Linked DNA regions of Mus musculus: regions 1, 2, 3, 4, 6 and 7 are each reported to be linked to region 5. Evidence: microRNA targets listed by miRTarBase, many of them from high-throughput screens and not tested one by one. Region 5 holds a microRNA gene; each other region holds the end of a gene's coding sequence. Distances are from middle to middle.

Region 1 (4,347 bases), 100 Mb from region 5:
ACAAGGACAAGCTGCACATGGCAAAAACATGTTTTCCCATAGAGGAACATAAAGGATAGTTTAAACATTTAATTGGGTAACAACAGCCAGCAATAATGAGTAATCAAAGTAACTCACTTTTATTGGCTACACTTGGCTGGAAGAGGAAAACACAATTCCATGTTTGGAAGAAGCTGAGGTCACAGGACTCTTGTTTTCTTGGGGCACACTCATAAGCACCTAGAATTCTCCTCACTTGGCTCCATTCCTGGACCACATTCTGACCATGGACTACAACAACTGTAAGTTGAAATGAACTCTTAACTCCTCTAGTTGTTTCTGGTCATGGTGTTTTCTCACATCAGTAGAATCCCTAAGACAGAAATTGGTATTGGGTTCATAAGATATTGCTCTAATGGACTTAATCATGTTGGGAGGGATTATTGAAGGACTTCAGAGCGCTGGGCTGAAAAAGCTGTTAATACTCAAAGCTTACCCGGCTGTCCTGGGAACCTGGAAGAGAGGCTGAGAACCACTTGGAGAAGGGAGACCTGGCTTGTGCAGTCTTAGAGTGTGAGAGTTCTTCAAAGACTCTATCAGAGTCACTCCTGTGATATTTTCAAGTAAGAATGTGTGGTTCTGGTCAGTTGGGGCTGAAGAACTGTCTGTGGTTAACAAAGGAGCAGAACCACTAAATTGAAACCTTTGCTTTGCTGGGGGCAATTGATGCTACTTAGCTGGACCTAAGAAATCATTGATTAAGAAGAAACCAACAGGGGGCTGGAGAGATGGCTCAGTGGTTAAAAGCACTGACTGCTCTTCCAGAGGTCTGAGTTCTATTCCCAGCAACCACATGGTGGCTCACAACCACCTGTAATGGGGTCTGACACCCTCTTCTGGTGTGTCTGAAGAGAGCAATGGTGGTATACTCATGTGCATAAAATAAATAATAAATAAGTCTTAAACAAAAGAAGAGACAACATCAATGAGGATCACAAATCTTAGAGTGTTTCCTCAGTATTGGTACACAGAAGCTGTGGCCCAGTGGGACCAAGGCTGTACCTTGTTCTGGCAGCCAAACTTGGTAATCTGCAAGAGTCTCCCAGGTGGTACTGGTTCTGAAGGCACGAGGGGGTTATTACTGTGACAAACATGGATTGATCCTGAAAGCCTGACTTGGGCCTCAAGGGAATGAAGAAGGTACACAGGTATGGAAAAGCCGGGATTGGTGTGTGTGTGTGTGTGCGCGCGTGCGTACACACGCACGCACACGTGCACACACGCACCTCAGCGTGTTTATTATGCACAGCTAGCTTCTGTTGGGGTTCTCTGTAGGGAATCAGTCTCAGGTTGCAGTCACCTGAGAGGAGTAAGCTGCAGTTGCTAGTTTTTGTTGTTTGTTTGTTTTTGCACATAATAGTTCATAAAGACTGTGTTAGGGTTAGAGGAAGGTTTTGTCACATCTTTGAGCCTTACTAGTAGGAAGGTTTTGCCAATTCCCATGGGTATGAGGCAGAGATCCTTGTCAATAATTCACATTTACTGGGGACTTCACCCAGTCCTTACATACTCAGGACTCACCCACTCTACATACTCAGGAGTTCACACATTGCATACACACTCAGAACTCACACTCCTTATACACTCAGGAGTTCACAAACTCAGCATTCACCCACTCCTTACACACTCAGGAGTTCACACACTGCTTATACACTCAGAACTCACTCACTCCTCACACACTCTTTACACACTCATGAGTTCACACACTCCTTGTCTACCCAAGAGTTCACACACTCCTTACACATTCAGGACTCACACACTTCTCACACACTCAGGACTAACACTGCTTACACACTCAGGAGTTCACACACTCCTTATACACCCAGGACTCACACTCCTTACACATTCAGGACTCTCATACTCCTTACACACTCACAGCTTCCTCTGCTCTCCACAGTGTCACGGAAGGCAGCTGAGGCTTGGCACCATAAAAGGTCAGGAGAGGCTCTTGGTGAAGACGAGAATGTCTCAATGTGTTGAGGAAGCCTCTCCCTAGGAAAAAAAAATTTTTTTATGCCTGGAATAGAATACATTATAAAACAAAGTGAACCATAAGAAAGTGCATTAGTTTTCAATGGAGTTAAATTTTATTTAATTAAAAGTAGCAAATGTCACACAATTCACTTCATTGTGAGTATTTGTTTTGTACAACTGAACTATTAACCAAGCAGCCTGTACAGTGTAGTCCCTGGGTCCCCTGCACTGCACTTTAAAATCCTCCTTCCCAAGCTTCAATGTCACGTTACACACTCAAGAAGCAGAGGTTTGCTGGGCATGGTGATGCACACCATTAATCCCAGAACTTTGGAGGCAGAGGCAGGTGGATCTCTGAGTGTGAGCCCTGCCTGGTCTACAGAGTGAGCTCCAGGATAACCAGGGTTACACAGAGAAGCCCTGTCTCAGAGGGGAAAGGAAGGCGTGGGGAGAAAAAGAGAAAGGCATAGCTTCTCATTGCAAAGTAGTCAGGGGACCTTTTATGAAGTGAGAAGTCTTTGAAGAATGTTTTATTTTTTGTTGATTTACAAAATGGCATTTTCCATGCCATAGTTAAATTGGTATTTTTATTCCAGTTAATTTTCCTTCTGCTACAGTGGAAATAAACAGGTCAAAATTAAGCAGTTTAGCATCATGGCTGACCAGGCACGATATCATGTCCTACGTGCGCTTTAGGTGATTTATCTACTATTACACATCTGAATCTAGTATGTTCTGGACAATGGATACCGAGGGGTGTGTCTTCCTCATAGACTAAGAGACTATTATAAAAATCAGCGCATGGAATTAACAAACAAAGATGGGATTTTAGACTTTCAGGGGCATGTTGGGATAACTGAATACGGAAAAGGCATTTATGTTTTTGGTTTTTTTCTAGAATCCTATTTCACACATTTTTGGATCACAGAATAACTCAAACGGTTTAACGTTAAGTCATCATTACTTGGTTAGCCATGGTATTGGTAGACGTGTATTATTTCAATTGTATTCTTACCAAACAGGAGCTTGCTAAAGCCCCTCCCCACCAAACAAAAGCCATAATGAGGAGTCACTGATAGTAATAATTTGAAGTGTTTGTTGAAGACAACGACTGATCTGGAGGGTGGATGTTTGTGTTGCTATGACAAGAGCTGATATCATCTTAAGTTAGTTTACAGGGAAGTATTCGGGGCTGTGAAAGATGCATATTTCCAAAGAAACCATATTGCATGCTTGTTTGACAGACATTCTCTGGTTAATTAGTAAGGGCTCTGCATGCAGCTTCAGCCAGTCCATTACTCCACCAGGAAAGCCATGGCTACTACAGCCAGTCCTTGATGTGTCTCAAGTTCTCCAGCAAATTCCAATGTTTGACGGAAAACCAAGCATGTTTTATTTTAAGATACCTATAAAATAAAAAAGCAAACTTGTATTAAAGGAAGGAGCTGTAGCTATTAAGACGTCCCATGAATTGCTTTGTAATGTAGAGGAATCCAGCATAAAAAAAAAAACAGTTAAAGTACTTTAAAAAAATTTTTAAACAATTATTTATTTATCTCATTTATTTTATTAATTAATTTTATTTTTAATTTTCAAATTTTTATTTGAAATAATGAATTGTATTAGCTAAATTTTAAAACAAGGTAAAATGAGCCCCCCCCCCCATGTCAATCAAGCATTTGAAAAAAATTATCACCCATCTGTATAACATTCTTCAGTGAGGTTTATTGGTTGCCTATTGGCTAGCAGGTCCTCAAACCTGGCTTACCTGACTCAAAGCCCAGAAGAGAGGGAGGTAGGGAGGTGACCTTCAGAGCTTCCCTTCCCTTCCCTTCTCCAAATCCAATCCCTCAGTCTCCTCCACAGCTCTGGAGCCAACCATCTGCTGTGGCCTCCCTTCCCCTTTTCCCCACCTCCAGCAGATCACACAGACCTTCTCCTACAGAGTGTCAGCCTTTAGCTCCCTCAGACACTCAGTGGGAACCGCTGGCCTCTGCCACGGAAGCAGGCAGACCAACTTCAGATCCTTCCTCTCTTCCATATCCAACTCCCAAGTCTAATTCCCAGCTCTGTAGCAGACTATGGGCTACGGCTTCTCCTCCCTCTCTGCCCCCATTCCAAGGGGACTAAGTGGATCCTGGTGGAACATCTGGTTTTCCTCATGTGGACCCCTTCAGCACACTTCTAGCCCATCTCCATGGAAAATGTTACAGCTCTGAGGGAAAAGGTTTTCCTGGTGTTAGAGCTCTGAAGGGAAAGGCATCCTGGAAGTCTGGATCAAGGAATACCACAAAGTCACACTGTACATCAAACCTCACACAAACACAGACACAC
Region 2 (4,347 bases), not on the chromosome of region 5:
CGGTCAGCCAGGAGCTGGTACAATCCTTGCAGGGGCCTCAGGATTACCGCAGGTTCAGATGCCAGGTGCTCCAAACCAGCAGCAGCCAATGCTCAGTGGAGTTCAGATGGCTCAGGCAGGTCAACCAGGTAAGGTGACATGGACTGAGTGCACAGGAGTGTGGGAATGAGCTAGATCATCTAAGCCTCCTTCATCTGCACCCTCCCCTTAGACCTGGAGATTTGCCTCCTTTGCTTTGTCACCTCGAAAACAGTTGAAAGCTCTGCAACATGTACCAGTGCGTGATGAAGGACCCTGAGTAGCAGCAGCTGGTGTGGCTGTTTACGTCCATCGCAGACTTTGCCTCACCTGTCCTGTTGATTCTGGGTGTCAGTGTGTTAGAGAAATGAGAGGCCAGCCCTTAGTCAAGACCGTTCGGTAGATAATCGCAGATTAACAAGCTGGCAGTTCTGCGGACCTTCATGGGTCCTTCCCCGCACCCTGGCCCTAGCTCCCTGCCCTCTCTCACGCTCGTTTTTATTTCCTGTGAGAGCAGTCTGGTGGGGTTCATGGAAGCAGTTCATGCGGGTAGGCTGTCTAGGGAGAAGTACATCTGAAACAACTGAGAACACAGTACCTCTGCCCTGAAACAACTGAGAACACAGTACCTCTGCCCTGAAACAACTGAGAACATAGTACTCCTTCCCTGGGACCTTAAACGGGGGCCACACGGCTTACCTGTCCTTTCTGGAAGTAGATGAGCAGAAAGAAGACCATCCTAGGGGAGAAGGCTGTTCAGACCCCTCCTCTTTTCTTTCAAATCGTCCCCTTTCCCTAGCTGTCTTCAGTCAGGGAAGCAGGAAGAACTGCAGCCTGTAGTAATCTCTGTCATCCAGAGTCAGAGGCCACAGAGGCTCTGAGATAGACTGAAAGGCTGCATTTCTGATTTATTGTGAAAGTTCACCTTGCTTCAGATCTCTCTTTCTGTTATTTTTAGGGAAAATGCCAAGTGGAATAAAAACCAACATCAAGTCAGCTTCAATGCATCCGTACCAGCGGTGAGTGTGGACGGCAGCCTCCACTCTCAGGTGATCTGTGCTGAGTTGAGCAATGACATGATTTTTTGCTCAAGGCTTATTTAGATGGGGACAATAAAAAGAACACAGGCTTTCAGCAAGAGACAGATCTCAGCTCCACTGTGAATAGCCATTCGAACTTGGGAAAGTGACCTAATATTTCTGAGCCTGTGTTCTCATTTGTAGATGGTGATAATACCTACCTCGTAGGGTTGTTGTGAGGATTAAAATGAGAAAATGAATGTAAAACACTTAGCATGGTGTATGCAATTCTGGGTCTTGAATAAATGATAGTTTCCTACCTTTCAACCCTGCCATTCCTTGTCCTATATGCAGAACTTATTGTGATTTGGTTCATCTCCATGACACCAGTGAGCCAATGGGCCCAGGATCAAGTTATCCATGGTGGCCTGTATGTGTTGGGGGCATACTGTCTCTGCAGGCCCTCCTGCCCAAGTACGGCCTGCTGGCCCTAAAAGCTACAGGTGAGGAGGTTTCTGGAGGACACTGGCCACTTCCAGGTGTGATGAGACCAGCTCAGCATTTCCCTGGGAAATAGGTAAACATGCCCATCTTTTAGCCTCCTGTGCTGCTAAAGATGCCCAGGGTCCAGCAGGTGGAAGAGCTCTTAAGAGGGACTCTGGCAGGCAACAGCACGGAGAATACTGTCTTCCTCCGTGGAGGGCAGTTGTGTTTTATAGTGCCGTGGGTTGGGGTTCATTTGTCTGCACAGTGACGACTCCCTGTCTCTGTCCTCTTCCATCTCACTGAACGTGTGGCTCAGATAAGATCTGGATTGAAAGTGGGAAGGGCAGCAGCTCCATTCATATTGCCTGCTTTTGTAGAGTTGACGAACAGTGGAGTTTTGGACAGCCAGGCCTGTTGCCTTTCTCAGCGTTCTTTTCTGGGCAAGGGCAGAGATTGAGTCAGCAGAATTGGGCCAAAGGGTTTCTTTGTTTAATAAAGATATTTAAATTATGTTCCCTGGCTCAGGGTTGTCTGACTAAAGTTTATGAGCTATCTACCAGGCAGTTCTAATTTGTTTTCCTTAAAGTAGTCCCTTATCTTTAATTTTCTTTAAAAACCCTAAGACTTCCAGCTGCACCGTTTGTATTCTCTTGTGTTACACACTAGGGCTTTGGCCTTTGGTCTGTCTGACAGCATTCTACCAGGCTGTGGCAGCAAAGGCCTGGAAAAGTGGTCCTCTGGTGCTGGTCTGTGAAGATGTGAATGGTGTTGACAGCTAATTGACCACAGCACAGCACACCAGGGGAGTCCTGCCCTGTGCTCTGAAGCAATGCCAAACCTTTCCCCCACTTGAATAGGCTGGCCCATCAGCCCATCCAGGTGTTTGTTTCCACATCTCGTCCCTTCCCACTAAATGTCAACGCTACCTGGGGTATTGAGTAGAGCTCTAGCTGGGCTTTTCAGACTCTCGGTATCTTCAGGTGACTTCTCTTCTTTACTCCACCTGTTACCAATCCCAAGAGTCTTTGCTGTCCCAGCTGAACTGACTTCATTCCCACCATACTATTGAAATGGGCTCCCTGTCCTCCAAGAACAGGAATATCTTCCTTCCGCAGGAGGAGCACATTCAGGCCCTCACCTACATGGCATGCCCTTAAGCAAACCCTCAGTGGTGGGTGGCACCCACACCTCTCAGTTGCTCTGGTAGCTGTCATTTCCACCACCCCCTCCCTTTAGAACTTTAGCATACAAATCTGTCGCCTCCCACTTGGGGGCTCATGTACCAGTTTGCCCACAATGGAAAAGCGTATCTGGAACCCCTACTATACTTGGAGTATGTGGAGGTGCCTGTGAAAAACGAGAGCTGCTTACTTGCGCAGATTGGGGTTTGTAAAAAGATGACTTGCACTCTCCAGCATTCCTGTCTCTGACAGTCTTCTGCTTAGGGACTGTACTTTCTACTGCACTGGGGTCCCTTAGATGGACAGAGGTCTTTCCCATTGTCTCCCAGGCTTGTTTCTGGGGTGGAGAAAGCAGCAAGTGTGAACCTTCGAGTGCTTCCCACAGGGGTTCATCCCACTGAAGGTGGAAGCTTATGGAATCAATGTCAAGTCCCACAGAGGTTGCCCAAGACTTCTTCCCTCTAGTGCTGTCCTGAGGCTGGGATTCAGTCATTACTGATTGCCCTGGTCACCTTGTTCTTTTTCTTCTTCCAGTGTGAATTGCTGGCCTACTTAGCTGGCTCACGACACTCAACTGTACCTTTGGGGAGCAACAGCTAAGATAGGTAGGTTGTACCCAGATGTTCCTTGTGGCTCTCTGGCGTGCCAGCATTGGGTACAGGCTAGAGAGGCTGTGATTGCTTGCCCACCTCTTACCCTGCTGCTAAAAGGAAGAAGCTGAACTCTGTAGGAATGCCCCAATGTGAGGCCGAGCCCGTTCCCCACCCCTACACACCTCCCCCAAGCAGCTGGAAACAACCTCCCCCTTTGTCTGAGTTTCTTGTACAGAATAATCCTCCTTCTGGACAATGTATTCTCTGTGTCCTGTGGACACAGGAGCCGTGTGAGCTGATCCCAGCGCTAGGCAGGACGGGGGCTGAATCCTCCAAACGCCCACCCTGGTCAGCTCCGGATGAATGTCCAGTGCAGCTACTAAGGGTTGGACATTTTTTTCCAATGTGCTCCAGATCTGAGTGGCAGGAGAGCCTTTTGTGGTTTAGCCCTGGCCAGTTGTATGAGCAGGAAGCAGGAGTTGTGTTTCCTCTTCTGGCCTGCCCTGTGCGCTTAAGCACCAGCTTGCAGAAGTTTGATGTGACTCTTTCCTCAAAGTTGAGAGTGGATGGGTCGAGTGCTTGGAAAGTGGTAGGAGCGGGAAGTGACTTGTGTGGCAGGCCATGGTGCTCCATCCTGTCACATGGACATCAACCTGCACTCTACTCCACCGGACAAACTTATCTCATTAGCAATCTGTTCCTGACTCGAGTGTGTCACTGAGGCAGAGCCCGGGTTCCTCTAACAGGGTCTCTTGTTAAGAGTCATCTGCTGCCGAGTGTGGTGGCGCACGCCTTTAATCCCAGCACTTGGGAGGCAGAGGCAGGCGGATTTCTGAGTTCGAGGCCAGCCTGGTCTACAGAGTGAGTTCCAGGACAGCCAGGGCAACACAGAGAAACCCTGTCTTGAAAAACCAAAAAAAAAAAAAAAAAGTCACCTGCCTTCAGAATATGACTTGGGTACATACGCTTCCCAGGAGGCAGGTGTGGACCACGGCTGTTGAGTTCCTCGGGCCTCCCTTACATCACATCCGAATGACCCCAGTGATCTTT
Region 3 (4,347 bases), not on the chromosome of region 5:
TTTACAATTCTTTTTCCCTGTGTGTATTAAAATATTTTGTTTGAATCATTACATTTTAAGGCTTTATGTAATTTTTTGCCTTTCTTTTTAGTGTGTACAGTGGGTGGATGAAGCAAAACTAAACCAAATGAGGCGAGAAGGCATTCGCTATGCTAGAATTCAGCTTTGCGACAATGATATCTACTTCATCCCTAGAAATGTCATTCATCAGTTCAAAACAGTGTCAGCAGTATGCAGCCTAGCCTGGCATATAAGGCTTAAACAATACCACCCTGTTGTGGAAACCGCTCAAAACACAGAGAGCAATTCCAACATGGATTGTGGTTTAGAAGTTGACTCCCAGTGTGTGAGAATAAAAACTGAATCTGAGGAAAGATGCACAGAGATGCAGCTTTTGACAACTGCTTCACCGTCTTTCCCACCTCCATCAGAACTTCATCTACAGGATCTGAAGACTCAGCCTCTTCCAGTTTTCAAGGTGGAGAGCAGACTGGACTCTGACCAGCAACACAGTCTGCAGGCACATCCAAGCACTCCTGTGTGACATGTACATATTCAAACACATTTTTTAACTTTTTTAAATTTTGATGTGAAGTTATAGTTTTATAACTGGCTTAAGTTAAGTTTTATTGGAGAAATCTTGCCTATAATTCTATAAAGAGAAATGACATTCCACAAATGTCAAGCATATCTTTTTTACACAGATTATGCAAAGCTAAGAGTTGTATCGTTAGTACAGTATGTAATAGTGGGTCTGCTGCTACTTTCTGTTTTAAGGTGTGAGGTTACAATTCAATCTCTTCTTCAAATCAAAAAAAGAATTCTCTGGAATAGCAGGTTCTTACTTGGTATTTACTTCCCTTGATTTTATCTTTCCTTGTCTCTTGCCATATTTGCTTTATGTGGTAGAAAGCAGATTTATGGTTTAATACTTGTGTCTTCATGGCACCTCGTTAGTTTCCACAGTAAAATGATATTTGGTTGCAGGAAAGGCTCCTGCATCTGGTACATGGACAAGTGAGTTGTTTAGTTCTAACCACAAAGAAGACATGGTCTCTAAAGAAAACTCTCTGGCTTCTGGTTTTCAGCAAAAGAGGAAACACAGCATTCTCTGATCCAGGCCGTCTTTTTGTGTCTGTTATTTAAAACCCAGTGGCTACTTCAATTAAACAAACCTCTAAAGATGACAAACAAAAATCTAAACATTGGCTATACATGATCCATGGTTCATTGATCTTTTCTAGGATATTTACTAACTATACAGGCTGTTTTGAGGAGGAGAGATAATGCTGACCTGTTGTGCTTCCTAGTATCCTCATATCAAAGTTAGAGAACTGCACCAGTCTTACTGATGAGGGCTGCCACAGCTGAGCATCAAACTAAGGAGAAACTATTCTTGTGACTTGGCATCTACTTTTGAAAACACTTTACAATTTTATCAGGCTAATAATACCTGGGTTTGTTCATTGTTATTCAGTGTTGCTATTTTCTAATAGCAGGCATTAGACTTCCATCCTAGTTTCAGGTAGGCTGAAACTTAGTGTCTGGATATTTACTTTGTTTTCCCTTTTTCAAACAGACCTCCTTCATCCAAGTAGTGTGGCTCTTATTTTGGAATGTTCATGTGCTATGCATTATCCTTTCTCTAGTTATCAACTTGGTAGGCCTTTTGTTTACTAAAGGAAGAGTACTCTCCACACCTGAGACCAGATTCTTGTATCTACCTGGTTACAGTGCAATTTGATTTTTTTTTCCTGGATGGTGAGATTTGAGTTATTTGCATTAACATAGGCGAAAGAAAAAGATGCTGCTTTGTTATGTCTGTCACCATGGAAACTTCGCTGCATCTTTGGAAATATCAAATATGAATTTTCTCTAAAATATTCTGAAATAGGTTAAATCTTATATAAATATTACTTTGTGCAATATTGTTGTGTAGTTAAATGCATATTAGCAAAGTATAGAGGTCACTGTGTAAACCGATAGAAAAGTAACCATCAGCAAATACTACAGTGATTAGTTAGAATCTGTATTATTCCTTATATATATGTATATGTGTGTATTCTCTGTTACAAAGGATGAAGACAAATAAATAGGGAAACACTTCAATGTAAACCATTTATGAATTGGAAGTGATGTTGCTTTTAGTTATCTTTGTAAATAAGGTAATTAGAATGGTATGAAAGGTAATGTGATTATTACAGGGGTGTTTTTAAATCCTGTGTATAAATTCTAGGGTAAATTCTAGTTTATCAAACTAGTTTTTAAGGGACCTTTGAGGGTATTTTTTGTTGTTATTTTGTGGAGAAAAGGGGCATATCACAAAATGAATGGGTTTGGGTTATTTCTTATTTTTATTTTTTTCTGTCCAGAAGAATTTCATAGAGCTTTACCAGGCTGTGCAAAGAAAAATTCTTCTCAGGCAACATTTGCTTTTAAAAATAATCATGAAGAGAAAAAGTTGTTAACGCAAAAAGTTTTATTTTGTTTTTCTTGTCTTCCAAGATCCGATTTCCCCACCTCCCACTTGCCATCCAGCAGATGCCATCCTGTCATCTAAGCTGGTCATTACTAATACACAAGGAGACTGTCTCCTGACAGCCAGCACTGTGCAATCACTCAGGAACCAGCGGATCTGCAAAGACCTACAATCAAACGCAAATCTCCATTTTCCTTTTACAAAGCATTCTACCCTCACTTCCAGTATAAACATATTAAAAGAATATAAAAATGTTGAAAATCATGTACTAATGAAGTCATTGTATATTAGATTGCAATAGAATGGAAAGACACATTTAGCTAGTAATGTACCTGGAAATCCTGAATGTCCTACGTGAGTATTAGATTTTGATAGCATGCTTTAAAGACTGATGAATATAAAAGCAGAAGCTTCGAGTTTCCTGCTGCTTTCAAAACTGTGTCCTAGTTGAGTGATACAAATGATCGCAAGTTTTCTAAATCATTAAACTATTTGGTTGGTGGAGTGAGGCATGGTCTGGTATCCTCTGATTTGTAAAATAGCGATGGCAGTGAAGTTGTAACTGAAATTGAAGCTGATCTTCCTTTCTGGTATGTTATCTATTGTGCCAGCCCTTGAGATTACTTGCAGAATGTGGCTATAAGTTTTAGTAGTTTATGGATCAGAGGGATATTTTTAAAATATGCTAATCGAAAGAACCTAGTAAATTAAATATTCCTAACAGCAAATAGAATGATTTTATGGTAACCATTAAAAAGAATAAGTCTTCCCCTGTCCCAGAGGTCATTCTATAATTATCAAGATAGGATAAGAGTTAGGGTTACGATTCTGAGAGATGTCCCAAATTCATAAAGCAATAATAATAACCTTTATATTGGTTCCCTCTTCCAAAGTTTAACTCTTGAGAAATGAATTCTTAGTCTTAATTGTACTTTGCTTATTCAGTACTTACAGTTTTACATGATTTTTACTCTAAGACTTTTGGAAAGTGCCCTGCGCCCTCAGAAACAGTCGGACTATTAGTTCACAAATACTACAAGCTCTTGTATGGGGAAAAGAGCTTATTTTAAATAATTTGCTAAACTTTAGGAAATGATATATCAGTCTTAACAGGCATAAAGATCTCACCTAATGACTTGAGAAACTTTTGCTTAGTGCTTTTTTTCCCCTGTATAAATATTGTCTAGAAGGAAAGTTAATATAGGAACAAGACTCCAAAATCCACGAAAATATGTTCCTAGTGAATATATCCTTTATCATTAATATTAGCCCATTATATTTTCATCTGTATTTGCCTTTTAAATTTATTTGCATCTATTAAAGATAATTAGGATTACTGAGTTTGTGTTTTTCTAATAAATCTGTTTCATCCTTTCAGTAGCACATGCCAGAGGCTCACATTTGTGCTAAGTTTCATGTTTCAAGACAGTCTGTAGCCGTATTTACTGGTCATGCAAGTAGAGGAGATACACATCACCAGTGTTTTTCTTAAGTGCATAAAGGACTTATCCTCGTCCTGGAAGTCTGTTGCTTTAAAAGCAAGTATCCATAAACATTATGGCCTTCCATTTAAAAAATCTCCATACATTTTTTAGGATCCACTTGTGCATGTAGTTGAGACCACCGTCTCTTAAAATATAGCACTTTTCAATTCTCTCTAAAGAAATACTTATGTAATACTATCACACGTTGTAAATTTTCATGTAATAGTGTTTTCTGTGACTAAACTTCATTTTGATTGGCAGCTAAGACTTTTTTTCCTGTGGCTTTAATTTATCTAAGAGGTCTTTGCATATAGATGAAATGTTTAATTTGCCTGGCGGACTATTTGCGTTTGTGTGGCCTTAGTTTGTTTATTGACATTAACA
Region 4 (4,347 bases), not on the chromosome of region 5:
GCGTACAACCCCGTGCTCCCCTGGGTCAGAGAGTTCTTTGTGCGAATTTCCAATGGAAGTAGCAGGTAGCTCATGGGAAAAGTGGACCTTTGAGCTGATCAAGTTCAAGTTCTTAAAATCTTTGGACAGAGGGAGAAGTGTGTGTGTGTGTGGGGGGGGGGGGCAGAGAAAGAGAGAGAGAGAGACAGACAGACAGACACAGAGAGACAATCATATAGTAATTAACAAGTTAAAATAATAAAAATTATTTTATGATATGTGTTAGGTGAGCCAATTTGAAAAGAACATATCCAAATGAATAATTGAATAATTATGTTAAAATTACCATCTTGGATCTTGGTGCATTCCAAGACTCTGGGATCACAATGAAGGCAACGTACCAGACGTCTCTGTGTTGACTTTTCCTCGGGAGTGGAGAAGGGTGAGATGTGCCCCCCTCACTCTTCAGCACAGGCCCTGACTAGCAAACTTCAGCCTGAGGCACATTTTTATGGTCAAATTAAAAACCTTCCAGAATAGAAGTTTATCATGGAAACACTGACAGGGCTTTACCCAGAGAAGGACTAGAGGCAGTGCAGTAATGTGGAGACGATTCCCTCTCAGCACAACTGCACTTCAGCACGGGGGATAGAGTTGTCTAGCCCATGCCTTTGGCCAGCAAACAACCATGATTTAACGGGCTTGAGTCCTGGTGATTCGGTAGCTCGGTGGCCCTCTGAGACAATTTTTCTTTCCTGTTGTTTTTTTCAACTGAAATATGCCTCAAAGGGTAAAGGATTGCAATTTTAGCCTTCATTCACAGATATACTGTTCTCTCTCAACGCTATGTGACAGGTCTGTTAACCACCACTCATAAGGGGGCCCAGCAGACTGCATGCAGGGAAGTCTCGGCGAACGCAAAGCATCAAGTGTTTTCCGCTGTTTATTCTTATTTCCCCTCGACTTAAGTTAATACACACCACGTGTGAGTCAGGTGAAGACGACAGCCAGAACATTTCCAGGGACTGAAGACCGTACCTTTTCCTTCTAATGGTTTGGAACAATTCACACATTTATTGATCATGACAAATAAAGTGGTTCCTTCTACAATGTGGAGGGGGGGAAAATGTATTCATTAAATGGGTCTCATCTACAGAATTGATTTACAGGAAGCAAGTAATGAAGGAGTGTTCAACTACTCTACTCTCAGACTGAAAGAATCCTTTCAATACCATAAGACTGGTCTTGCTAGTAAAGGAAGGGCAGTTCCCATCACCAGACTACCACCATAAGAGTTATATTCAATATGCAAAAATATGGAAACAGTCATGATGGTTCAGTGGATAATTACAGCGATACACAGCCATGATGGCACATAGTTGTTCTATGATACACCAAACAAAAAATAAGATCGATTTGGTTATAGAAATTCAAAGAACACCACCACTTAATTATTTCAAACTGGAGCTATTCTGAGAATGTTGAAGGGAGGATATTTGTACTGGGTAGAAGCAAAGCGGTCTGGATGCACCAAGTCAGCAGCCTGTGCTTGTCTGTTCACCCTCTGAGTTACAACTCTGACATCTAAGATCTTGGTAGCTTGACGCTGGCAAGATTACTGAATTACTGCATTCCATCTGATTGCTCAATATTTCTACTTGACAGGTTACATTCCACTATTTATTCAGCGTAGATCACTGAAATTCTATAGGGATGTGCTGTGATCACCCTTCTGCCTGGGCTCTGAATTCTGAGCTGCTCTTCTGCAACCTGATGAGATAATGTTGATGGAAATGTTCCAGAGCCTTGCACTGTGGGCCTGTACCCCAGGATGCTGTGGCCATACGTTAATGACCGGGGAAAGCAGTAATTCAGAGAAAGGGAAGTGGCAATCTGCTCTTGGCCACAGGGTGTTTTATAGTCACACACGTGGAGTTGAAGCTCAGTGATGCCATCACTTGCTGATTAGAATAGCGCTTTGCTTTTCTGTTCCACAGAAAGTAGTGATTTCGGACCAGTTCTAGTCTTTTACCGATATGAACTCTGACACCGTTTCTGGTGGTCTGTGCCCTGTCCTTAGTCCCAACACCCAATTCAAATAATGTACAGATTTATACCATTTTGTGATTTTATGTGTATCATTTCTGGACTCCCAAAAAGGAAAAGAAAAACTAAATAAATGTTATATTTAAATGTGGAAGAGCAGGAAATGTGGGATTCTGTCATTTAAAAATCTATGAATGTGCAGAACCTATGACTATGTATAAACACAGCAGCTGCAGATCAGTGTAGAGTTCGAAAATAAAGACCTGACTCTGGGAAGATTGTTCATAACTTTCAAGACATTAAAATACATTCAAAGCAAGAATGAGCAAGTAAGGGGCCTGTTGCCGTCCTGGAGTGTAAAATTGTTCTCTCCTGAGTCAAAGCTGAGAAAACATTAGGGCAATGTTTGAGTTGGGTCTTGCCTCCTGCAATCCTCTGGAGCACGGATGTAGCGGAGAAGCACAAGCCCACCTTCTGAAACACAATCGGCTCCCTAAGAAACTCAGGCCTGGGAGACGGACTGTGTAACAGGAGTGAAAAACCAACCCCAGGCAGGCTTTGGCCCCAGACCAGAAAAGCAACACATCCCCCCTGGAGGACTGGAGACCACACTAAAGTAAAGAAAATCATGAACGGGAGTGGCGGCTTCAGCCGCCAAGGTATCTTCTGGGAGACTTGCTGGTACTGACTTCCTGGTACCTAGAGTTACCATGGAATCGGTTTGTTTCTATGAATCCCGTTTTAGAACCTTTTGGATTGTGTTTCCTCTGAACTTTCCCTTCTGCCTCTTTGCAAAGCACTAGCCTCTTGCCCCAGATCTTTTCCATTCTGTGTTGGTTTCACACTGGTGGCTACGGTCCTGTGTAAAAGCAGCTGAGAAAAACAAAACAAAACAAAAACAACACAGAGCCTTGCTTTCCCTTGCTGGTTGGATTCCCAGCCCTGTAGAGCACCTGGTAATTTATTGCTCTTTTTACCAGTGGTTTCTTGAGCTCTTCTGATCCTGAGCAGACAGATCCCAACTCACCAAGCACAAGCCAAGGCTAGGTGGTTCCCCGAGGGTCTGCCTGGCACTAGCAGCAGGTAATGGGCAAGCAGCGTGGCAGGGGCGTCTTCAGCACATCTTTGTATGGAGACAGGGAGAGACACTGTCAATCTCTAGGGTTAGGCTGCCACAGACCCAGTTCTCTCCAATCAAAGCAGAGAAGTCTCTGCAGCTAACCAGCTTACTACGTAGGGACAGGGACTTCCCTTCTTCCTAAGATGCTTAAGAAAAGATGGGTGCATCTGCTGATGCTATAAAATCTGTCATTTTCTAAACCCACAGAGAAGGATTGGCAGTGTGTCATCCTCTATACTCTTCTTGTGTGGACATTTTTTGGGTCTTATGACGCCCCTTGGTCTGCAGTAAAATCAAGAAATATGTGTGAAGATATTCAAGGCCTGAAAAATTCCCCAGCAAGGATTCTCAAGAAAATTCTATGCACTCAGAGGGCTAACATGTGCTATGTTACATACTGCAGATCCTAGTTTGACTGATGAAAACATTCATTACTTCTATGTTAAAAAAAAAATCGCAAATTAGCCTTAACCCTTTAAGGACCCCAATTAGCAGCAAATTACCATTGTCACAAACACCACATGCCTTCTCATTCAGTAAAGGGAACTTGCTACAAAGGTACCCAAAACACACTTTCTGTTCTGCCGGTCAGCACTGAGTGCTAGATAGATCAGATGAACCTGTTTTACAGAAGTTTGGGGAGGGAGGGGGAAATCTCAGAGTCTTAAAGGGTTAAGCTAGGACTTCGAGTAAAAGGGTCTTATTAAAAGGGCGAATTGGGGGAGCGAACAGTCTCAGAGGAGCTGGGGGAGTAGTCCTCCGATTCCGAGTTCAATTCCGGTGGAGCTGGCTGCGCCTTGTACCGGCTCCTCACATCCTGGTTGCGTCTTCGTCGGAAAACCTGCCTCTCCTTATCAAGAGCGGTGGTCTAGCAGGGGCATAAAATGAGAAAGAGGACAATTAGGCCAAGGGACATGGCAGAGAGACTCTAGACAGTTTGCAGTTGGAAACTATGCCGGCTGGCCAGGTTAACCTGCCCCTCATGACTTGCTTATGTCAACAGTCATCATCCTTGCCCATGAAGCCAACAGGTGCAGGCAATGTCGCAGGCAGCAACCTACCCAGTGCCACCAGTTATCTCTCACCCCACATTAAACGGAGCTTCAGTCTTTTGTGTGTGACAGGTAAGAAAGCTCCTTGGGTCATGTTGGCCAACAAGCAGCTTAGGGCACAGGGATAATAGAGCCAAAGGGTGATAAAGT
Region 5 (4,347 bases):
TTAAATACAGGTCATCAAACAAGATATACAGTCTATTTCTAAAACAGACAAGCCCAGCATCCCGAATCCCTGTGGCCTTTTACTGAGGCGCACTGTGCTTCTTTTTCATGCTCCTCTGTCAATTCATGTTAAAGTTTGCTTTGCTTAAAAGTGATATTTCATGTATTCTCTGACCCTCTTGCTCAAAGCAAAGAAATTGCTTTGGTTTATTTATGACCCGCTAACCTTAAGCAAAGCTGAACTTCTTAATGCTTCCAAAGCCCCGGGAGGAGAAATAAAAGCTAAAGTAAATTTGGCAATGGTGCAAGTCAGTTTTAACCTGTCCAGAAGACCTTCCAAAAATTATGAAGGGAGAATGGTTGCCTACGTGCACACAAATGACATATTTCTGGTGGCTCTTGATTCAGGAAAAACTGCAAGGAAGCAGATGGTTAACACCAATTTAGAATCCTGGAATCTTAACATTTTCTAAAAATAGTCAAATAAGACTCGACACCTGACAGAAAATGTAAAATTTCAATACTGTCCAACATTAATATTCCAGCCAATTATCAAATTTGGAAAATAACAGTGCAGACAAGGTTAGCTAGTAAAATAGTGATTGGAACCAGCATTGTAGAAAGCCGAGGAAAGGTAAGCTAAATCAGCAAGTAGACATCTTTCCCCTGTAGAATACCGTCCTGAAGTTATTCTCTTACTGTGAGGCAGGTGCAGCAAGAGCAGAGGTGCTTTTCCTCATGGAGAGTGAGTTTAAGTTATTGAGAGGTTTTTCTCATCAAAAACTATAGCCATGAGAAAAGTACATGTTTCATTGGATAAATAGGAGTTAAAATATGTCAGTGATGTGATGTTTAATCTAATTTCTTACTAAACACCAATCACTTTCAATCTCCTAAGAACTTCATGATAGTATTCTCCGTAATTTTATTCTAAGAATTTGAGAAATTTGGACTTATATTTTCTACAGAGAATTTTAGAAGGTTCTGGAAACCCCTCACATTGCGGTGCTTTGCTATTAATTGTGATTCGGATGGAAATTGCTTGATCGTAGTTCCAATTTTGTATATTGAGATAAGGCAATGATCATGGCTTAGAGTCTCAGCTCAGCAGCCTTGAAAAAATGATATCAAAAGCAATGACAGGTATGTATAGAAGCAATGGGATGCTGGCCTGAATATGATAGTGCAGTGGTCAAGCAAGGGAACATGAGCAACATGCATTCTGGTGAAACTGATAACACAGATGGTCCCAGGAAGACTTGCTTTCCTTCCACAAGAGACAGCCCTCTGCAGGAAAGCTATCTCAAAGGAAGCCACACAGGACTATTCAGATTCATCAGTTTTATGTCTTGTAACTATCTGAAGTCTGAATGCATGCCATCAGCAGATCGTTACCTTATCTACCTCAAAATACCAGCCAGAGACACTTGTCCTGTAATCTCTTCGTGTACAAGATAATAAATGATTACAGGTTTAGCATACAATATTCTAAGTAAATAAAATGAATATGTATAAAAATTTGGACTGAATGGTTCACCAATATTTTATTAATAGTTACACACACACACACACACACACACACACACACACACACACACACACACATATATATATATATATATATATATATATATATATATATATATATATACTTATTAAAGCCACTTAAGAGTCTACATAAGTATAATGTAGTAACTTTCTACCCTAGTTTTGAGGAGTACAAAGGGATTTTTGTTTAAGTTGATATTTGAAATCAGTTTTGAAGACATGCTCAATAGAGTTCATACTAACTTGTAAATGCACTTCATTTCAAGAACACCTAGGAAATGGATAGAAGTTACTGCCAGATCCACTCAATCAAAACAAATAACAATATTAGGATATAATAACCAAAGTGAGAGGAGTTGAATTTCAGGCAGTAGGCATAGGTTGTATTAATTTTCATTGTAGTTTAAAGTCTTGTGTCATAAGCAAAGAAAGATGTGCTAAATTGGTTTGATTCCTTGATTGTTTTAAAAATAAGTATGTTTAAAAGAAATTATACTAATTAAAATGCCTATTGTAAAATAAATGCTTATTCCATGCACATTGTAAACATAGAAGTTCAAAATTGTTAGCAATGTAACTTGAGAAAACCTAAGTGGTTTCTGCTTGATTCTGCATGACCTACATGCGTCCTTGCAGTTCTTATTATATACATACCAATATTTAAATTATGAGATACTTAGATACTATTTGTTTTGCTTTTTGATAGTTCCAATTTTGTTGAATGATAAATTCTCCCTGTCTTTAACAGCCTGTAACTAAGCTCCCCCCAAAAGGACTTTTCTTCCCTTTTGAAAAAAAAAAATCCGATTCTTTTCTTTGACACAGCACAAAGTGGAGGTTTGCCAAGCTCTGGGCTGGAGGAATCCTGCTTCTTTTCTTCTGTACTCTTTTGAAATGGTTTAAAATGTGTGACAGGTTTGGTTAAAGGATTGGGCTTTCCTCTGCCTCCCTCCTGCTCCAGACTCCCACAGATACTGTTTAAATCAGCACATCTCTGCCTCACAGGTTGCTTCAGTGAACATTCAACGCTGTCGGTGAGTTTGGAATTCAAATAAAAACCATCGACCGTTGATTGTACCCTATAGCTAACCATCATCTACTCCATGGCCCTCTGCGTTTGCTGAAGACAGAACCGCAAAGCAGGACCCGACAGGATTCTCCCCGCCTCTTCAGAGACTATGTTTACAAAGGTCACAATCAACATTCATTGCTGTCGGTGGGTTGAACTGTGTAGAAAAGCTCACTGAACAATGAATGCAACTGTGGCCCCGCTTTTTGCTGTCGCAATCAACAGACGTTCCCTCCCTAATAGAGGTCCTGGGGGTATTAACGCCGTTTCTCGGTTTAACTTCTGCTGTCTGAACTTTCAGGTTTGTTTATTCAATTCATATCAAGTCCTATTTCTGTGAGGAAGTCACTAATTTATATAAGAATACTGCTTTTCTATACTCCTGGGGGTTACAAATGGGGCATTTCTTAAAAATGCTAAAGTGTTGGATGCCCAGAATCAACTGTGTAGCCCTGGGTTGGCACGGCTTCCTGCTCTGCTGTGCTGGTGGGAGGAAGAACCAAAGAAATATCTTACTTCCTGCCCCGTTATCCGTCACATTGTTACACAGAAAATAACCATCCCCTCATCTTTCATTAGATTTCTTGGTCAAAATGGGCTTGAAGCAAGAGGGAATTCTTTTGCTCTGCATAAAGAATCGCTGAAATGGCTCTACTCTCTATGGAATTGGTAGGCAGAGGGATAGTACCTCAATAGCCAAGTACTTTGTTATCCAGGGGCTCATTATAATCATGCAATAGATTTGTTTCCCCAGAGAGACCTCAGATTTAAGATTATAGTTCATCATCTTTATTTACCCTCTACTTTCTTCTGAAATGGTAGACTTGATTCCAGGGACTGTCTTCAAGCAAGTGTGTGTGTGTGTGTGTGTGTGTGTGTGTGTGTGTGTGTGTGTGTGTGTTTCCTAACTAGTTTGGCTCTATAATTTCAAAAAGAACATCTGTCATTAAGGTTCATCACCTCCAATAGTAAGTACAGTGGTTGGAGTTAATATTTATAACAGGATGTTCAGCATACAGTGTGTACATGGTACCTAGTACATGGTACCTAATAGATTTTAATTCGTTGGGAAAAAATCTATCAAACATATTGTCCTTTCTCTCTCTTGATCAGTTTATTATGATATACATTCAACTCCCACTACAGAAATCCATTCCTGGGACCTTGCTCTAGTGTTCAGAATATTCATTCCCACAGTATTTTACGTAGTTAGTTCACAAGTGCCTGCCTTGCTTGGGGCATCTCTATCTATCATAACTCCTTTCTCCCACCGTCTGTTTCGTTCCATTTAACGTATGACAAGGCTCTAATCTCAACAAAAAACAAGAAGTTCAAAAAAAAGTTTCTATTCCTGCTTCATTCACTGAACAGCCCCCTTCTTTTTTCTATCTTAAAAAGCTATGAGTTTGGAAACGTCACTTAATTAGTAACCTGCAGAAGAGTCTCTATTTGTGTGTTCTCTCATTACTTCTCTTCAGCCCACAATTTGACATCTTGAAACATTGCTCTCTCCCAATTGTGCAGATTTTTTTTTAATGGAAGCTGGTCTTGGTGAAACCAAATCACCAGTATTATTCCACCCCTGGTAGCAAACTTCCTACTCTTCTTCCATAAAATCATTCCCTTTAAGTTCCATATTTAAGTGGATCCTGCGGCACTGGCCTCTATTTCATTGATTATAAATTCATCCAGGTATATATTTGTTGATAAACTTTTCTAAGCCTGGATAGT
Region 6 (4,347 bases), not on the chromosome of region 5:
CTGAGGACCCACTGCACAGAATGGATAGGAAAGCAGCATGATCGCAGACAGAGTTTAAAAGGTAGCTTTCATCCCGTGAGGTGACAGAGGCAGGAATTAGAAGGTAATACAATGATGATTAACAGTAAGGCCTTGGGAGTGGAAGAAACAGTTCAGCTCAGAGCAGGGCTTAGCATGTATGAGGCTGTGGCTTCAATGCCAACGGCATCACAAGTGATCTGCTTACAGTCAGATCTCAGACGTTTCCACACACCAATAGAGACCTCTAGGAAGGCTGCTTAGTCTTTCTACATCCTGTTTCTTTCCCATACTCAAGATACAAAATCTCCACAGGACTGTTCCCCCCAAAAACAAAATTGTGTGTAAGCACACATACATACAGCAGGTAGCATTTGTTTGGTGGAACAATGCAGATTTATCATTAATATAATTCAAAAGAAATAGAAAAATAATATAAGTGTAAAATGTTTAGAGGAGAGCAAGGCACAGCAACTCATAGAATGATTCCAGCACCTAGGAATCTGAGGCCTCAAGTCACAAAGCCAAGCCAGGCTGGGCTATATTGCAATATTCTACTGGGGATGTGGGGGAAGAAACTGGGAATGAATACTTTAAAGTCAGAGGGAAAGAGGGAATATATTTTAAATTCTGGTTTTAATACTGATGGTATTTGGTGAAATGACACACAAGTTTGAATAAGTAGGGGTTTTTGTTTTTTGTTTTGTTTTGTTTTTTAAAGAAATACTGACTTCACTATGCCATGGCAGTAGGTGCGTAAATACATAGCTACGAAGGCAAAGAAACAGACCACACTAAGCTCTGACATTCATAGACAGACAGTAACTATTAAGTCCCTGGGCTTGAGAATGAATGCACAGAATAAGAACTGACAATAGCTGGAAGCCAGAGAGCATCAACATTTAAAGATGGCAGAGGAAGTCTTCAAAGGATGCTGAAAACAAGAAGCCAGGGAAGGTAACAGCAGTGCACATGCAGAACCTAAAGGATAAAGGTGTCTCAGAAAAAGAACACTCAGCCAAGTCAATCTGCCAAGCAAGCGCATGAGTTAAGCACTGAGCAGTCCCTGGATCTGGTACGTTATCCACATGAAAAATGAGCAGGCACTCCACATACAGACAGAAGAAAAGCAAATTGTGAAGACAGTTGAGGGAAAACAAGATACCCTGCAGTAAGAATTCAGAGCAAAGACAAAGTGACCTGATACAGGACTAAAAGGGTTAGCTTCAGACAGAGAGAAGAGGAGGCTCTCTCTGTCAGAGAAAAATGAAGCTGACATTGAGGCAGAAAAGGCAAAGCATAGCCACAGAACTGAGCGAGAGTCCTATAGCTACAGTAGAAAGGTGTGGGTAGGAAAGACAGAGAGAGAAGCTAAGCCCTGTCTTCAGGCCACACTGAGGACACAGTGAGAGGGACATTAAACAATGACATGCTGAGCATTTGTGAACAGGGAAGTTCTCCCTCATTTACACTAATCTTAATAATCAGAAATGTGGAGTCTCATTCACTTCAGACATTGTCTACTATATCAGAATAATATTTTGTTTTAAAATACACCAACAATTACCCACCTGTTGTGTTAATTTTACTAAGCTCCTTTTAAGATTTGGATTTTTATTTTTAACTATGTGTATCTGTGGGGAAGAGAGTACACATTAGGCTAGTGTCCTAGGAGGCCAGGGAGAAGCCATCAATTCTGCTGGATCTAGAGCTACAGGAGGGAGCAAGCCACCCAAGCTGGGAGCTGAAAAGCACACTCTGGCATTCTGTAAGAGCAGTTCCCATTCTTAACACTGAGACACCTCTCTAGCTCCCCCTTTATATTCCTTTTGGGGGATGTTTTTATAATATCTTCTTGGTTTCTTCATTAAATCCCATTTCTCTGAGGTACTCATTTTTGAGCAGTGCATATCAGATGTTTTAACAAGACTTAATATGGTGCTACTAACACACACACAAACACACACACACACACCCCTTGTAAAATTTACAAACAAAAAAAGGTTATATGAAGCTGGAAAAATGGCGTAGTGACTAAGCCAAGTTTGATCCCTAGCACCCACGTGGCAGCTCACAGCCATCTGTAACTATCATTTCAAATGACCCAGGTATCTGACCTCTACAGATACCTGTCAAGACATGTTGGACACAGACATTTATGCAAGTCAAACATTTATACTCATAAAATAAAAATAAACACATCTTTTTATAAAAAGATTATATTCTAGTTTCAGTTCTCCATTTCTTTAATCTATCATTGACACGTGCATATGACATTAATGCAGAAAATTTCTGTTCAGAACAAATAAATTGAATGCTCATAGTTTTCTTTAATTTCATTATCTACCAAAGAAAGGATCTACGGTCCTTCCATATTTCACAAGGGTTTCAATAATACCAATAAATTCTACCATGTAACCTAATACCTATTAATTAATTATCTAGCAAGAAAGCTAGGCACATCATATAACTTATTTTTAACTTCCCAGTACCTATGGAAAACATATTATTCTTTTCATTTTACAGCTTAAATAAATGCAGAGAGGTTAGGTGAAATGCCCACGATTGCAAAGCTGACATTCAAGTCCAGTTCCACATGCTTCAATTACAGGCACTACACTAAAATGCCTCAGAATATTAACAAACTGGGTTCTTTTATATATGTCAGATGAGGTATTACTCATAAATATAAACTTTTAAATGATAATAAGTATATTTAAACATTTGATAGCTAAAGGATTAGCCAGAAACACTATCGTAACATGTCTCCCCTATGATGTAAATTCACTTCAGTTGTTTCAACATAAGACACATAAAAGGAAACTAGAACAAATAATCATATTGTGTTTAAGAATAACTAGTCTACATCAAAAATCTTCCCACCTGATACTTGGTATACATACTCAGTCTAGTGAGTTTCATTAAATTTAACTGTCTTATCTTTAAAAATGCATTTATTTGTCTCTCAAAGTTAAAAACTACCTATGCCATAATATGTTTCAAAATCAGAAAAAATTTAACTTCTGATTAGAAACACTAAACCTCTTATGTCACTGATTTTGAAAGTCTAAATGAAAAGAAAAACATCATAATTTGCTATATAGTTTTCATACAGTGAGTTTTCCCTACCAAGGTATTTTTCAGATAGCCAAGTCATCCATCAACATACTATGTGAGGAAGTCTAGATATTTAACAAAGAAAAACGCTGCCAGGTCATCTTTATTTTCCTTAACAAAACACACACACACACACAAAAACCATTTATATATCATCATTATATTACAAATATAAATAATACCAAGAATTCAAGTACAGTCAAGTGCAGATGTATTTCCTATTACTATGTAAACATTAACTATATACATTATGTGCCTTTGGCCCAGTTGTAAAATAAAAGACATCAAGAGAAATACTGCACTTGACTGTTTAGTTGCATTCTTACTGAGAATTCGTACCAATGCGTATGTAATTAAGGTTACAGCTTTCAGCATTACTTGGTGTAAACACCTAAACAGATATTTCCTTCCCACTGGCAAATATCTCCAAAGTTAAAATTTAATGATGAAGTATTCAAAATCTTAATTATGTTTCAACCCTTAAATACTATGGAAGAAATTATTCCTAGCCAAATTTGTTCCTATGTCAAAGTGGGTATTATTTACAAGTTATACATGTAAAAAACATTTTTTTAACTTTAGAATGCACAGCTATGCCTCTGCATATTAACTGATACCACGTGCTTTTACTGTCAATACCTAGTGGTAGTACTTGGATACACTGAACTTGCTGGGCAATCTGAATATGAATAATATTAAGCGTATATCTAGAAGGCAAATTTTTCTTGAGTACCACAAAAAAAAAAAAAAAAGCAGTAACTAACATCAACAAGACTACAAATATCCAGTTGAAGGCACATGGAAGTATTTACTACTTTGTCACCAAAGATTCTTCACTTGGTTCAAGATTAGGAACAGAATCAGCTCTGAGAACAGGTGACTTGGCTTCGTTTGTTGAGGTTTCCTCGTTCTCAGTCTCTTCTTGGTTCTCTGCTGGCTCCTCTGGACCAGATGTTTTTTCAATCACTTGGCTTGTCTGCTCTGTAACTGGTATTTTGTCATCTCTCTGCTCAGTACTATTATCAAGAACATCTTGTTCTTCTAAAGAGTCTGAAAAGAGAAAAAGACATAAGATTTCAGGGATATCTAAATGTCAAAACTGCTAAATAAGACAAGCCAAAGATAAACATACAAACATACTAAGAAACGACAGAATGGTCTAACATTACCTTTTAATTTTCACTCTATTGCATAGCACTTAGAGAATTAGTA
Region 7 (4,347 bases), not on the chromosome of region 5:
CCTCCAGAGCAATCCGCTGGAGGACCTCCTCATTGAGCATCCCAGCATGTCCGTTTATGTCACCGGCAGCACCATAGTGCTGGAGTCTGGGCCACCTTCCCCTCACCCTGAAGCTGCCTTGCCTGATCAGGACCTCAGCGATGGGTGAGTGGGTTGAGGGTGGAGACTGGAGGCTAGGGTCTAGGAGACTAGCAGGGGCGTGTCCTTGGGATAAAGGGCTGAAGGAAAAGAGGCGTGGTCTTGTGGCTAAGGTGGGGCTTGGGAGAGCCCTGGCTCAGAGGATTGGGAGGGACCAGCCTGATCTGCCAGACAGAATCAGAGTAGGACTTGTATTGGGGGGTCAGGGTTTTTTCCCTGTTCTGCCTAGTTACCTGTGCCAGGTGCTTAATCACAACTCTAATTGTGATTAAAGGAAGAATTTGTACCCCTCAGTGGTCTGCCCCGCAGAAATAGGGTGTGGGATGCCAACCCTGATCTCTTCCCTCTCTGACAGAGTTGTACTCTGTTTCTGCAGAGAGCTGGCGCCTGCCCTCCGGGAACCCAGGGCCTTGCACCACGCAGCTGCTCCTATGCCCGCTCGAGCTGTGCTGCTGGAGAAGGCTGGCCAGGTGCGGAGGCTGCAGAGAGCCCGACAGCGGGCTGAGCGCCACACATTGAGTGCTAAAGTGTTGCAACGGCAGAATCGCGCCCGGGAGAGCCGTTCGCGCCGGCCCAAGCACCAGGGCAGCTTTATTTACCAGCCGTGCCAGCGCCAGTTCAACTACTGAGCGCCCCTGCTGCACCGCGAATCCCTCGCCGACTCCTGGTCCCATCCGCCTCCTCTGCAGCAGCCAGTGTGCTGCTCGAGGGTGTTGGGGGGTCCACCCGCCTCCATCTGGATACTACAACCTCCCTCCTTCCTAAGTTTTGAGGTGGGGTGATGGCCCTCTACTTCCCTGTTTATAGTCTAACTCACCTATTAACCTCTCTCATCCTGGGTCATCCTCCCTCCTTTCTCAGTGTCTGATTCTCCACCCTCACACTCCCCACACCCACTCTCCCATGCTTCTTTTTAGGACCTCTATTCTTGTCTCTCGCCCCTTCACCTTTTCCCTCTTAGCCCACCCGATTCCTAAGACCCTGACTTGGCACCTTCTCCGCTTCAGCTCCTACTTTCCAAGACTTACTCTTCTGTTTGGGATCGCTCCCACTCTTGTTCCCTTTTTTTCATTCCTGGCAATTCCCTCCCAATCCTGCAGGTGCAACCTGCCAGGCCTGGGCCATTGTCCTCATCCTGTAGTCAGGGATCAGGCATGGGTTTTGATTTCAGTTTTCCCCCTTTCTCTGCCCTGGGGGCTGGGCTCCTTATTGCTGCTTAGGCCTAGAAAGTTTAAGTATGTGGAAGAGGAGAGTGAGTTGTAAGTTAGATAAGGTGAAGGGAATGGAGGGAAACAGGCAGCCTAGTGGGGGCCGCAGATGGGGACAGGTGGGTTGAGAAGTAGCAGGGAGCAGGGCATCTTGGGAGCTGGTATTGTGCTTGGTCAGAGTAGCTAAGCCCTGGTCTTAGGCCTGAGCCTGGAGTCTGCCCCCATTTCCTTTTCCTATAATCCTGCCTTCCAGGGTTCCCCCCTCCCTGAAATTTGTCCTTCAGGAGTAACCCCTACCCACCCCTGTCCCTGTGAGTCTGGAGTCCGAAGGGCTTGTACCTTGTCACCTTACCTTGTCATGCCACCCCAGGAGTAGAAGCTGGGTAAGGCCCCATCATCCTGACCATCTCTGTTCATATGCCCAAGGTGCTAGAATTAGCTTAGGAGAGATGCAGGCCAGAGGATTTCCAGGCAGGGAAAAGGAAACACACCCCAAGGCAAGAATGAGGAGGCATGATGCTAAGGAGGACAACTATGAGGTAAAGCCATCCCCAGACTGACAGCTCTGCCTTTATCTTGCCTCTGGCCTTATATTTCATACTTTGTTCAATATGGCTGGATAATAAACACTCCTGGGTAGAGGAGGCCAGGAGCCTCACTGTCCCAATTCCCAAATTTTTCTTACAGAGATTCAGGGCCTTCAAGAGTCTTCTTAATGTTCTCCCACAGGGCTCTTTCTGAGTGCCCTATAATCCCTCCCCCCTTTCTAATTCAATATCTGGAGTAAGGAATTCTTGGGTAGGGCACAGGGATGGGGTTGCCAGCTTCTTCTTTCTTGTGGTGGGGCTCAGACACCAGCAACAGCCTCTTGGGATGCCCCAAGTTGTTTCCGGTTCTTTCTAGCTGTCCTTTTTAAAGTGTGTGCTCTTCCTTCCTTAAAACCTTTAGATGTCCTGTTACACTAACACAGGTCTTCCCTTCCCTCCAACCCCAGGTTTCAGGTCTCAGAGCCAAGCCAGGGTTGGAGAAAACTGCATTCCTACGAGGGTAAAAGTAGCTGCCCTCTTTGATCCTTTCTTACTAGGCTTCATGTGGGATGGGAGAGGATGTCCCCAGGATGGGGACAGAGGAAGCCCTGCTAGGGTCTCCTAGCCCAGTAAGCCAAATGGGAACTATAAGCAGATCAAAATTTTACACTAGCTTATTAGAGCCCTATTAGTTCCTGTCCCAAGTTCTTCAGTTACAACCTAGTAGTATACTTACTCTTCCAACTGTCCTAAGGTCACTTCCCAGCCAGCTTAGGATCTTCAGCATTTTTAAGAGCTGAAGCTCCCTCTTGCCCTTCTTGTCTACTCCTCACTGCCAGTTGGGGCCTAGGCTTAGTCCTGGGCAAATGTCCATGATCTTGCTGCTGTAGGAAGCTTGATAGGGCATTTGGCTCAAATTTCAGAAGGCCTCGCTCCTGACCTAATTTCTCAAAGCTCCGGTAGTTCTAGACCCCTCCAATTTCTCATCTGGTTGCAAGGCTTATTTTTCTTTTGTACTTTCCTATAGATGCTATAGCATTTGAGTGTGGCAATATTTTTGTTGTGTATAGATGTCTAAGAACCAACACTACTCAGTCTCCTGCTAGTCTGACTCCTGAAGCATCAGACCCTGTCATACTGTATTGACTGTGTATGTGCCTTTCACCTTGAGCATGCTTCAGGAATTTTTTTTTTTCTTAAACCACAGAACTTGAATACACAAGGGAACCAGAATTCACAAAGTCCTATGCAACCCTAGACAGGAGGAGGTTAGAGAGTCTGTCTTGATTTGTGGTTTCAGAGACCCTAGAGAAATTTGTACCAGTTTGTATTAAAGTCAGTACTACCAGCACTTTGCCAAAACTACGGATGTCAGAGGGACCTGTTTCTAGAGTGAGTCCCAATTACATCAAAGGGCAACCTGCGCTTTCTCCAATAAGTCTGAGTGGTTCTCTTGAGCTGGTGTCACTTTCTAACCTTTGCCAGTCTAGCCCCAGCAGGGCACCGTGTGTGTGAGTGTGGTTTGGTGCTGTTTTGGAGTGTGCCTGCCCCCCAGCCTGGAACCCTCTGATCAACTTGCTGGGACCTATAACGTCTTAGGTGCAACAAGGACCCTACCAGAGCTCCTGGGTGGCTTTGTGTGAGGGGACTGAACGCAGACAAACCACAGCCTGCTTCTAATACCTTCTTTCCCTACCACCTAGTTCCAAATGGAACCAACAAGTTGAGTGCATCTCTGTTGGGTGTTTTGTGTTGAGACTGGCTGAAGTGAAGAATCTTTGACTGACCATGTTGTGATGTGTCGACAGACTCAAGGACACAACCACCTCGACCTGGTCATGTGGCATGCCTGTGTATGTGTGTAACAGGATTCTGAATGTTAGGTTGTAATGCTATTCCTGTATGGGAGAAAAAATAATATAAACAAATAAAAATCTATTTAAAGCACATTATGCTTTCTGCCTCAGCTGAGCTAAAGTATGAGAAACACTATAATTTCAAGTATCATCAAGGCAGAGGATACTATTATTAGGCTAATCTTCGTTCTCCTTTGTCATATAAGAAAGCAAGAGGACAAATAGTTCACTAGAAAAGGACAATATAGGGTCTGACTCATAAATATTTTTAGAAGATCCTTATAAGGCACATATATGAAGATACCTGGATACAGAAATGAGAAAGCACAGCAAACACTGGTCCACTCTTTAGTCCCAAGCACTGGGCTATGACAAGGTCCAAGAGCTACCTAGTTAACTGTAGAACTGTGTTAAGTGCATCTCCTGATGGAGCAGCACAAGCATTGCGTGGGAGGAAGCACCATCTGTGTTGCTGACAGCCTCTCACCTCTAAAACCTTTGATGGAAGGCTGGTTCTACTTTCTGAGACAAAGTCCAACCTGGCCTCGAACTCTTTCTGTAGCCGAGGGTGACCTTGAACTTGTGATTCTTATGCCTCTACATCCCAAGCACTATGAT

What was found. Region 5 holds the annotated microRNA mmu-miR-181a-5p (AACAUUCAACGCUGUCGGUGAGU, at 2,565-2,587, shown strand). A microRNA usually pairs through its seed, bases 2 to 8, with sites in the 3' UTR of a target mRNA and lowers its output. Matches are read on the target gene's strand: a 7mer-m8 pairs with bases 2 to 8, a 7mer-A1 pairs with bases 2 to 7 and ends in A, and an 8mer does both.
Region 1: the mRNA of Bend6 is a reported target of mmu-miR-181a-5p. The part of its 3' UTR that is shown has no 7-base or 8-base seed match.
Region 2: miRTarBase lists Med8 as a target of mmu-miR-181a-5p. Seed matches in the 3' UTR shown: 8mer at 1,294-1,301.
Region 3: miRTarBase lists Rsbn1 as a target of mmu-miR-181a-5p. Seed matches in the 3' UTR shown: 7mer-m8 at 2,822-2,828.
Region 4: the mRNA of Dclk1 is a reported target of mmu-miR-181a-5p. Seed matches in the 3' UTR shown: 7mer-m8 at 3,570-3,576, 8mer at 2,331-2,338 and 7mer-A1 at 1,647-1,653.
Region 6: the mRNA of Lnpk is a reported target of mmu-miR-181a-5p. Seed matches in the 3' UTR shown: 7mer-m8 at 2,595-2,601 and 7mer-m8 at 823-829.
Region 7: miRTarBase lists Trp53inp2 as a target of mmu-miR-181a-5p. Seed matches in the 3' UTR shown: 7mer-m8 at 3,747-3,753.

Annotation. Positions count from the first base shown.
Region 1 is chr1:33,849,949-33,854,295 of GRCm38, forward strand. It overlaps Bend6 (BEN domain containing 6), which reads right to left. Exons shown (of 7, transcript NM_177235.3): 7 at 2,104-3,419. The coding sequence ends at 3,406. Among named protein-coding and RNA genes, the nearest start is that of Gm15455, 13 kb to the left of the region's middle.
Region 2 is chr4:118,413,748-118,418,094 of GRCm38, forward strand. It overlaps Med8 (mediator complex subunit 8), which reads left to right. Exons shown (of 7, transcript NM_020000.3): 6 at 1-128; 7 at 977-2,077. The coding sequence ends at 1,041. Among named protein-coding and RNA genes, the nearest start is that of Med8, 6.6 kb to the left of the region's middle.
Region 3 is chr3:103,962,069-103,966,415 of GRCm38, forward strand. Rsbn1 (rosbin, round spermatid basic protein 1) reads left to right here. Exons shown (of 8, transcript NM_001356556.1): 7 at 92-547; 8 at 2,506-4,347. The coding sequence ends at 544. It overlaps Phtf1os (putative homeodomain transcription factor 1, opposite strand), which reads right to left. Exons shown (of 1, transcript NR_030676.1): 1 at 2,468-4,347. Among named protein-coding and RNA genes, the nearest start is that of Phtf1, 4.0 kb to the right of the region's middle.
Region 4 is chr3:55,533,236-55,537,582 of GRCm38, reverse strand. It overlaps Dclk1 (doublecortin-like kinase 1), which reads right to left. Exons shown (of 17, transcript NM_001195538.2): 17 at 1-4,013. The coding sequence ends at 3,849. Among named protein-coding and RNA genes, the nearest start is that of Gm31796, 7.9 kb to the left of the region's middle.
Region 5 is chr1:137,963,904-137,968,250 of GRCm38, forward strand. Mir181a-1 (microRNA 181a-1) reads left to right here and starts at 2,552; the gene lies at 2,552-2,638. Mir181b-1 (microRNA 181b-1) reads left to right here and starts at 2,736; the gene lies at 2,736-2,815.
Region 6 is chr2:74,518,113-74,522,459 of GRCm38, forward strand. It overlaps Lnpk (lunapark, ER junction formation factor), which reads right to left. Exons shown (of 13, transcript NM_027133.3): 13 at 1-4,185. The coding sequence ends at 3,947. Among named protein-coding and RNA genes, the nearest start is that of Lnpk, 59 kb to the right of the region's middle.
Region 7 is chr2:155,386,026-155,390,372 of GRCm38, forward strand. It overlaps Trp53inp2 (transformation related protein 53 inducible nuclear protein 2), which reads left to right. Exons shown (of 4, transcript NM_178111.3): 3 at 1-144; 4 at 515-3,822. The coding sequence ends at 767. Among named protein-coding and RNA genes, the nearest start is that of Trp53inp2, 6.3 kb to the left of the region's middle.